2 linked regions of the Callithrix jacchus genome follow. The protein of the gene in region 2 interacts with the protein of the main gene of each other region in a biochemical or structural test. Links are inferred from orthologs where the notes say so. Each region holds a gene or a part of one and is shown on either strand. Other genes may lie near its edges.

What was found. The genes of interacting proteins can lie anywhere in the genome.
Region 1: the proteins of SYTL4 (region 2) and RAB8A form a complex in vitro, tested with the Homo sapiens proteins (2 studies listed by BioGRID). The link is inferred for Callithrix jacchus from reciprocal best matches to the Homo sapiens genes SYTL4 and RAB8A.

What each region holds. Positions count from the first base shown.
Region 1 is NC_133523.1:14,740,388-14,745,251, forward strand, and holds part of RAB8A (ras-related protein Rab-8A), read left to right. Parts: intron 1-982; coding exon 983-1,060; intron 1,061-2,946; coding exon 2,947-3,036; intron 3,037-3,628; coding exon 3,629-3,694; intron 3,695-4,864. UniProt on the Homo sapiens protein: The small GTPases Rab are key regulators of intracellular membrane trafficking, from the formation of transport vesicles to their fusion with membranes.
Region 2 is NC_133524.1:96,994,258-96,999,121, reverse strand, and holds part of SYTL4 (synaptotagmin-like protein 4), read left to right. Parts: intron 1-3; coding exon 4-105; intron 106-574; coding exon 575-650; intron 651-1,043; coding exon 1,044-1,134; intron 1,135-1,249; coding exon 1,250-1,338; intron 1,339-2,191; coding exon 2,192-2,296; intron 2,297-3,397; coding exon 3,398-3,576; intron 3,577-3,862; coding exon 3,863-3,965; intron 3,966-4,496; coding exon 4,497-4,658; intron 4,659-4,864. UniProt on the Homo sapiens protein: Modulates exocytosis of dense-core granules and secretion of hormones in the pancreas and the pituitary. Interacts with vesicles containing negatively charged phospholipids in a Ca(2+)-independent manner.

The DNA.
Region 1 (4,864 bases), on a different chromosome or scaffold from region 2:
CTCAGCTCACTGCAACCTCTGCCACCTTAGATTCAAGCTGTTCTCCACCTCAGCCTGCCGAGTAGCTGGGATTACAGGCATGTGCCACCACGCCTGGCTAACTTTTTGTATTTTTAGTAGAGACAGGGTTTCACCATGTTGGCCAGGCTGGTCTTGAACTCCTGACCTCAAGTGATCCACCCACCTTGGCCTTTCAAAGTGCTGGGATTACAGGCATGAGCCACCACACCTGGCCGATGAGCTGCTGCACCTGGCCCCAGGCTTGAATCTTAAAGGTCATGTCTCTGTGCCTCAGTTTCCCCTTGCATCACATAGGCATGTTTGCCCTTGTCCACAGCAGTGGTGAGGCTGTGGACCCAGGCTGAGGCAGGGCTGCCCCGAAGCTCTTTCAGGACCAATGGGCCGTCTTCATATGTTGGTTAGGGAACCGGATAGGCCTCAGCGCACCCAACCCTTCTTCACATAGCTGGTCCCCTCTGTGATGGGGTCACTGGAAGTTGCGTGGATGTCAGGTCAGGACTCCCTGGGTTTAGTCATGCCTGGAAGGTGGCTCTGGCAGACCGTGGGTTGAGCAAGGGGTGAAGAGGAGGCTGACTGCAGGAGAGGGTCAGCGTGAGGGGAGCCCTGCTGGCAGTGGGCCTGTGGAACAGCTCCCAGCGTCAGGCTGCACCACCCTGTGGGCCACAAGGGGAGCCAGTGGGGCTTGTCATCGAGGGCGTGGCGGGGGCCTGTGAGGCAGAAGGGTCACCTCAGCAGCCCAGGGGGCGGGACAAGACTGGTGCCAGAGCCCAGCAGAAGGAAGGGCCGCAGGGATGGAGAGGAGATGGCTGGCCTCTGGGGTGCCACAGAGGCGGGAAGAGTGGCAGCAACAGGCCTGGCTGTGCGGCGGGTGCTGGGCTCTGCACCATTCTCCTGTGCTGCTGGGGCCTTGCCTCCAGAGTCTGCAGCTGATGAAACACCCGTGTCTCCTCTCCCCGCCCAGGGCATCATGCTGGTTTATGACATCACCAACGAGAAGTCCTTTGACAACATCCGGAACTGGATTCGAAACATTGAGGAGGTGAGGCCTGCCGGCTCTTCCCACTGTCCCTGCTTCAGTCCTTGTCCCAGCGCTCTCTGGTTTACCTATGAGAAGGCCAGGGTGCAGAGACACACACAGGTCACTTGCCAATAGCCTCCAAATCAGGGACTCAGTGGGAGCAGGGACTGAGACACAGGCAGCCGGCCCCAGGGACCACACCCTGGCCTGGCCCCGCCCCAGAGCCCTTCGGAGCCCACCCCTCCAGCTGGGCTGTTGGATCTGGCCAGCGTCACAGTCATAAGAGAAGGAACATCCAAGCTTGTGGTCACCATGCGCATTGGCTGCTTTCTAGAGAAGGAAGGTTCTAGCGCAGGTGTGACCCTTGTAGTCGGAGGGTGTGGTAGCTGGCCAGTCAGTTGTACTTTGAGCTGTATCAGAGCTGGGTGTGACCTGCTACAAACTACCTGTGTTCAGACCTTGACCCATAGAAGGGAGAGGAGGAAGCCAATCCCTCCTCCCCCTCCCAAAGCCATCTTTATCTTCCTGCTCCCCAAAAAACTGACCTCACCCCCAAAGCCTTCCTGGCCAGCGGCACCTGCAGCTTTTGACAGCTAACCAGGTGGAGCTTCAGGTCTGAGGCACAGCCAGATAACTTTTCCCATCTATAATGCCAGCGCAAAATGGCACATCACTGTCCACCCAGGACTCATGGACCCCCTCAGGCCAGGCTGAGAGGCCACCCCATCATTTATGAGTCATTGCACTGGGCTCAGCTCCTCAATGATCCTGAGAGGGCTGAGCTGCCGAATTAGCCAGTGCAAGGCTGCACCCTGGCTGGGGAAGCCGTCTTCATCCATGGAGAGGAGCAGAGCCTGGTCTTTGCGAACGGTCTGTTTCTGGCCAGCAGGCAGGAGCACCTTCTTATTCATGGGCAGTGAGGCAGGGAGTGGCACAGTAGGTTCCAGAGACCAGGCCTCAGCTGGTGAAAGAAGACAGCAGTTTCCAGTGTCCCCATTCTTCAGGAAGCACGGTTGACTCCATGAGGACCCAGGAAGGTCTGATGAAGGAGCTGCCTGTGGGTGTGAAGGCAGAGTTTGGGCAGCACCACATGGTATGGTGAAGTGCCTGGGGCTGGTGACAGCCTCGAGTTGCGATCACCTCAGGCATGGCCCGTTTCTGGAGCCCACAGAAAGAGTTGAAATGTCAAGGCCAGGCATGGTGGCTCACGCCTATAATCCCAGCACTTTGGGATGCCAAGGCTGGTGGATCACCTGAGGTCAGAAGTTTGAGACCAGCCTGGCCAAAATGGTGAAACCCAGCCTCTACTAAAAATATAAAACATTAGTCAGGCATGGTGGCTCACCGCTGTCATCTCAGCTATTGACTGAGGATCACTTGAACCCAGAGGCAGAGGTTGCAGTGAGCTGAGATCATGCCACTACACTCCAGCCTGGGAGACAGAACGAGACTCCTTCCTTTAAAAAAAAAAAAAAAAAAAAAAAGAGTAGAGCAGAAGGTCCCAGGACAACAGCTAAAGCCTCCTGCAGAGGAGCCAGGAGGGGAGGGAGGGAGGGAGGGAGGCAAGGGTGGGGGGTAAATGTCTCAGCCTCACTCACCCCTGCAGAGGCCAGACCCCTGCAGCAGCCTGATTGACATATCCGTAGAAGCTGCCAGAAAGCATTTCAGAAAATGTGCATTTGGTCAGAGTAGCAGCTCGAACCCTGGCCCTGGCCCTGGCATTGGCTGTGTGACATGGGACTGGCTGCTCGGCCTCTCTGAGCTTCAGCTTCTCCCTTAGACTAGGCTGTGCCTAGCAGTCCTGACCCCACCACTCTGATTTCTGGGGACAGGCTCTGTGCTGTCAAAGGTACCTGGCCAGTGTCATCCAGTCTGATCCCCTCCCTGTCTCTCCCCCTCTCTCTCAGCACGCCTCTGCAGATGTCGAAAAGATGATACTCGGGAACAAGTGTGATGTGAATGACAAGAGACAAGTTTCCAAGGAACGGGGAGAAAAGGTGGGCATGGTGGCACAAGGGGCAGAGGGCCTGGGGGGTCTCAGGATTCCCATGCAGAGGCCTTCCCCATCCCTCTGCTGCCCCAGGGGCTCCCCTGAGTGCTCTCGGGTAGAAAAGTTGGGTTTTGGTGGTTCCTTTTATAAGTACATGCTATCCTGGCTTGCCTGGGACGAGTTGGTCACCCCATTGTGGCACATGCCAGGGGACAGCAGAGTGGGAAGCACATGCCCAGCTGGGGCTTCTCAGGTGCACTCTGTGGGCGTCTCGTTGAAACCCAGCATGGCCCCACTCCAGGCCTTCAAAGCCACAGGAGCAGGGGACAGAGCCGTGGTTTGATCCCAGCAGGGCCCTGCCACCCTCCCATCTCAGCTGCCCTCCCCGGCGCTCCATGCCCTGCACAGCACTGTGGAGGGGCATTCGGAATGGGCTCCCCATTGGAGAATCGAGGGAGCCACCCAGGAAGCCACAGCCCCAGCCCCAGCCCCGTTGGTGCTCCCACTTGGCACCAGCCCCGACTTCCACTCCTGTTTTGGGCAAGCTCAGATGTGCCCAGCAGCTGGTGTGCTTATATGTGTGCCTCCCTTTCTCACAGCTAGCCCTCGACTATGGAATCAAGTTCATGGAGACCAGCGCGAAGGCCAACATCAACGTGGAAAACGTGAGTCCCAGGCCCTGCTGGGAGACACGGGGCCTGCAGGATCAGCCCCTTCATGCTTAAGAGGGAGCTGGCATCCTCTGGGGAGGTCTGCCAGACAGACCAGCCTCTGGCTCCATGCTGCCAGTCAGTCCTCTGAGGGACACTTGCTGGCCAGTGCTACATGCCAGGCACAGGCGGCCTGTGGGAATCTGCCATCAGCAGGGGCAGGCCCACAAAGGGCACCTAGGACGCGTCTCATAGGCCCCTGGGCAGCCCTGGGGAATAGGCATGGTTTTACAGGTGAAGAAATTGAGGCTTAGAGAGCCCCAACTCTGTTTACACTCTCAGCCATGCCAGTCACACTGGAGAGGCCCCTGTCAAAAGCTCAGACACAGCAGGGAGCCCTGATAGGAGTTGGTCCATGCACCCTCCCCTCTCCACGGGTGACCCCAGCCCTTGCGGCCGACCCCGTGATGTTTCTCCCTCCTGGGTATGTTTCCAAGGTGGGATCTTCCACATTACTCCCACCCGAAGTGTCTGTGCTGCCTGGAAGACCAAGGCCAGAATCCTCGCCTGGCATGGAAAGCCCTCCCTCGCTGGCTACAGCTGGTGTTTGTCACCCAGGACTCAGGCATTGCCCACCCCGCTTTCTTCCTTCTCCAAGACTTTACTGCATTCCCCGCCCGTGTGCCCCCTTTTCCACCTGTCAGGTTCCCTTTGCTAGTCAGGGCCCAGCCTAGGAGGTCCCTCCCCAAGTTTGTCTTCGTCCTCTGCTAGACCTTCCTCCACACCCCAAGCCACTTTCCTCTCCAGAACCTCCCACGTCATAGGTATGTGTGTTGGGATCATGCCTCCCACCATCTCTGTATGTCCCACACTCAAGGCCGTAACAGCAGCTGGAGCCTTGGCTGTGCTGGGGCATGAACCTGTTCCTGCTCCCGGCCCGGCCAGGCAGGAACTCCAGGTGAAGCTTGTTTGGCCACAGAGCTCTTGCCTTTTCCCCTGAGCAGACAGAACCGAGGAGTCAGAGATGAAGAACTGGGCACTCCATCTAAATCCTTCTGGATCAGTCGGTTAACTTGCCTTTGGTCAAGTCACTTGGCCTCTCTGAGTCTCAGTTTCGTCTCTGGCCAACCGAGTATAGCCCCATCTCACAGGGCTTAGGGGAGGCCCCGTCAACACTAAGGTGCT
Region 2 (4,864 bases):
TAGTGTGCTATTTGAAGTGCCAAAGCTGAAAAGTGGAAAGAGTGCATTGGAAACTGAGAGTGAGAGTCTGGATAGCTTCACAGCTGACTCAGATAGCACCTCCAGGTGAGGTTTCCTCATTTCTCTCATCTCCACACTACCCAAGTTGCGATTTTGTTCTGCAGCATCAGTGTTCCTGACTTCTGTCCTCAGGAAGTTGAATGGAGTATTTCCTCTGACCTCACCAGAAGTCTTTTCCGTAGCACGTGTACTGATTTGGCTCTGAGCACAGCTTCCTGGATCATATTGGCTTCCCCAGTCAATTCCCCCAGTACCTTGGAGTATTCTTCTTAGCCCTGTAGCAACTGATGCTGCTGTCCTTTAAGAATGAGGGATCTGAGTGTTTGTGTTTGTGCAAAGTTGCTTATCTGATCTTCTGCATTCCTTCCAGGTAAATCAGATGTGAAGTATACCTTCTGAATTTGGTTATTACCATGACCCAAGGCACTGGCTTTCCTTCCATAGAGCTTTGATCTCTGGGTGCAAGGGGAAGGGGAGGAGGTGACTTAGTTATAACTTGTGAATCTATCTCCAGGAGAGACTCTCTGGAAAAATCTGGCCTCTTTCCAGAATGGAAGAAGATGTCTGTTCCCAAATCTCAAGTAGAAAAGGTAAGCTGCAGGTTACTGAGCCACCTTCCTTCCCTCCCTTCCTTCCCTTCCTCCTTTACCTCCCTGTCTCCCTCCATCTTTCCCTTCCTCCCTCCCCTTCATTCTTCTCTTCCTCTTTCTTCCCTCCCTCCCTCCATTCTCTTAGGCAGAATTTGAATCAGGAATTTAACTAAACAAATTTCAGTTCAGAGTCACTTGGGAGCATTTTCTAAGGTTTTGGTTGAAATGTGTGAGAAAATAGGTTTTGTACTATTCCTAGGCACATAATCTTTCCTTTAAGTTTGTCATAGTTTCGGGAAAATCTGAGCCTCATTCTTCTTAAGGCTATCCTTCCTTACTCCTTCTACCTGTCCATCTGTCCTTTTCCATTTTCGTGCCCTTGTTCCTTTCTAGGAAACTCAGCCTGGATGTCAAAATGTGGTATTTGTGGATGAGGGTGAGATGATATTTAAGAAGAATACCAGGAAAATCCTCAGGCCGTCAGGTAACTGGTTTCCCTTACTGGTCTTTTGGGACTAAAGTTCTGAGTACCCTTGATGGGCTCTTGGTAAGGAGAAGAATAGGTTTCTTCTGATTTGGCTTTTTGGTTTTCTCCTCAGAGTACACCAAGTCTGTGATAGATCTTCGCCCAGAAAGTGGCCCCTTGGGAGACAGAAGCAAATCTGTCCCAGGCCTCAATGTAGATATGGTAAGTGCCCTTGTATTTTACTGTCACTATATGAAATTTTATTTATCTAGATTTGGCTTTAGTACCTGAGATTCTCAATCAACCTATTTAATTCTTTAGGAAAAGGCAACATGAAACTTGATACCCCAAATTTCTGAAGTAAATCTGGTTCCTGATTTGCTTAAAGGAAAGGACTGTCTTTGCTATCTCTTTTCTTTCTTTCTCTTTCACAGTGTCTCACTCTGTTGCCCAGGCTGGAGTGTAATGGCACAATTATAGCTCAGTGCCACCTTGAACTCCTGGGCTCGAGCTGTCCTCTCACCTCAGCCTCCTGAGTAGCTGGGACTTTAGGCATGAATCATCATACCTGGCTAATTTCTTTCATTCATTTTTTTTTTTTTTGGGAGAGATGGGTGTCTCACTATATTGCCCAGCCTAGTCTGGAATTCCTGAGCTCAAGTAATCTACACTCTTCTGCCTCCCAAAGTGTTGGAATTACAGGCATGAGCCACCATGCCTGGCCATCTCTTTTATTTTCTAATAAATTGCTGGATATATGACTGGGGATCAAATAAATACTTCTCTTGGTTAAAATATAAAGAGATAGCTGGGTTGGGGAAAGTCTAATGGAAAAGAGTTATAGCTTTTATGAAAAACATTAAATATTCTTATCTTATTCTTTGAGATATGAGAAGGATGGTTGGAATAGAGCTGGGAAGCCTGAAATGGGAAGACATATAAAAAGAAGAATATGTGCATATACATACAACTCGGAGCTTTATGACAATTATGGCTCCCACTAAAGGAAAGGTGTTAGTCTTTGAAGCTAAAGAAAGGTATTTCTTTTATTAATTCTGAATCTATATTGTTCTAGGAAGAGGAAGAAGAAGAAGAAGAAGAAGAAGAAGACATTGACTACTTAGTGAAGTTACATCGCCAGAAGTTAGCCAGAAGCAGCATGCAAAGTGGCTCCTCCATGGTAAGTTCTATTAGATCTGTGGGTATAGGCATATTGGGGTGCTAGGAAGAAAAGAAGCACCTCCCTAGAGCAGACTCGGGACCTGGGGAAACCATCCTAGTCACTCTTTTCAGGTAAGTAAGATGCGTTTGTTTGTTCCTATCCTCAATTTAGACTATAGATGCTTAGTGTACATCTAGGTGACTTCCTGAGTCCCCATCCTGGAGATTATTACATATAGATAATTAAGGCTGGGGACATTCTTCATCACAGCTTTGTGAGCAATAACCTCAACTTATCCTTTAAAGAGGTACCCAGGCTGTGAAGTGAGCAAGATCAGATTTCTTCATCATAGCGCACTCTAAATTCCCAACATTAAAGGAAAGTGAGTGTCATGAGAGGGGCCCTGGCAGGGTTAGTCAACATCAGGGTATGGCTAACAATCAACAACACCAGTAAGGATAATGAAGTTAAGGGAACATTTATGAATCAGGGCCTGGTTCTGTTATAAGCATGGAGATTGATATTTAGGGAAAGAGTCAAGAACAAGAGTAAACAGAGTTTGTTCACATTCACAGGAAGAGAAGGTCAGCTCACAAGACCAATTACTACCAGAAAGGAAGGTGCCTTTTCACTTCTGGTCGGGTTTCCTCCTTCCCACTCACTCCCAATTCTGGCTGAATCTCTTTTCTCTATAGGTCCTGATAGACATAAGGTGGATAAGAGAAACCCACCTTGTTTTAGTTAGTGACTAACACCATTCTAGCCGATGTTTTAGTGTATATAACACAGTTCCCAAATGGACTTACGTGCACCTTGCCTCTGCTCCCTGCCCGCCTCCTGGGGCAGATGAAAATGAACACTAAAATTTGTACAACCAGGAGAAGAAGAGAAGCTAAGAGGCTAGGTGAGCCATGAACTGATTTATTCACCTGAACAGTTATGAGTCCTGGTAGTTCTCTTTTACCCTCTGGGTCAAGGAGTGTGGGCAGCACTGGATCATTGCAGGGGCTTCTGAATCTTCTGTTCAGTGACTGTGGCTTTATCATGAGGGAAGATATGAACAATGTGGCGGGGGTGGAGTGTGCCTTCCCCAGATGTTCGTGAGTGCTTTTTCTTCAGAGTACAATCGGCAGCATGATGAGCATCTACAGTGAAGCTGGTGACTTCGGGAACGTCTCTGTGACTGGCAGGATTGCCTTTTCCCTGAAGTATGAACAGCAAACACAGAGTCTCGTCGTCCATGTGAAGGAGTGCCACCAGCTGGCCTATGCTGATGAAGCCAAGAAGCGCTCTAACCCGTGAGTGCTTCTGGAACCTGACTGATGCTCTGAGACTGGAGAACAGACCCCAGCATCTGTCTGGGCACTCTTGAACAGAGCTTATCCCTTTCCTTGGGAGCAGGGAGGTGTGATGTAGGAAAGGAACCAGGATTGGGGAAAAAGCAAGAATGGCATGTCTAAGAGGGCTTGAGGTGACATTTTTGACATCACATATCACCATGCCATATTCATATGGAGAGCAGGAAAGTGAAGAGCAGGCTTGAGAAAGGCCAGCAAATTACTCAGTATACTCTTTGGTTTCTAGGTATGTGAAGACTTACCTTCTGCCTGACAAATCCCGCCAAGGAAAAAGAAAAACTAGTATCAAGCGGGATACCATTAATCCACTATATGATGAGACCCTCAGGGTAAGTATCTAGACCCCAAGGGTAGAAGAACCTGTTTTGTCTTGTGCCCGAGGCTGTAACTATTCCTCTGCAACATGGCCAGGTGACATGAGTTTCAGTGGGCCATGTCTGTGTGTGAGGATACATTGGGTACCTGTTCACATCCTGATTTCCCAGTGAAGAGAACAAAGGTGCTCCGCCTTTCCTGGATTGTTGTGAAGTTGGAGATTCACATGGCCACAAATCTCATTTTAAAAAGACATTTGAGATAAGGAATCTCCTTGTCAGTTGTTTTTGGACGACTCAGTATTCTCTCACCTACTCAAGGAAAATCTAATTTTCCAGATCTTCCTATGGAATATGGTAGGTTTTTTATAAAATGAGGTAAGTTGAGGCTTTGAGTGAGGAAACTCAAAGTGCTTAGGGAATATAAAGGAATTTGGTATTCAGGACTAGTGACTTCAGGAATGGTTGCTCAGGTTTTGGAATATTCTTGTCTGAGGAATTATCCTAAACTAATAATCATCTTGGGCTTCTACTTTCCCTTCCCAGTATGAGATCCCAGAATCTCTCCTGGCCCGGAGGACCCTGCAGTTCTCAGTTTGGCATCACGGCCGTTTTGGCAGAAACACTTTCCTTGGAGAGGCAGAGATCCAGATGGATTCCTGGAAGCTTGATAAGAAACTGGATCATTGCCTCCCTTTACATGGAAAGGTAGTCTGCTTTAATAACTCATGCAGTTTGGATTTGAGGTAGAATTGTCTGCAGTAGCCTCTGCTGGTCTATGTTGGTAGTGTCTTTGAATGTAGTCTTCTCTGGAGTTCTAGTGTCCCCTGCTGGTGTTTCTGAGTTTGACAGCAATTTCAGAGGCATTTGTACATCCAGCGTGCTGTGTAAATCAGGCAAAGTATGAAGCCATG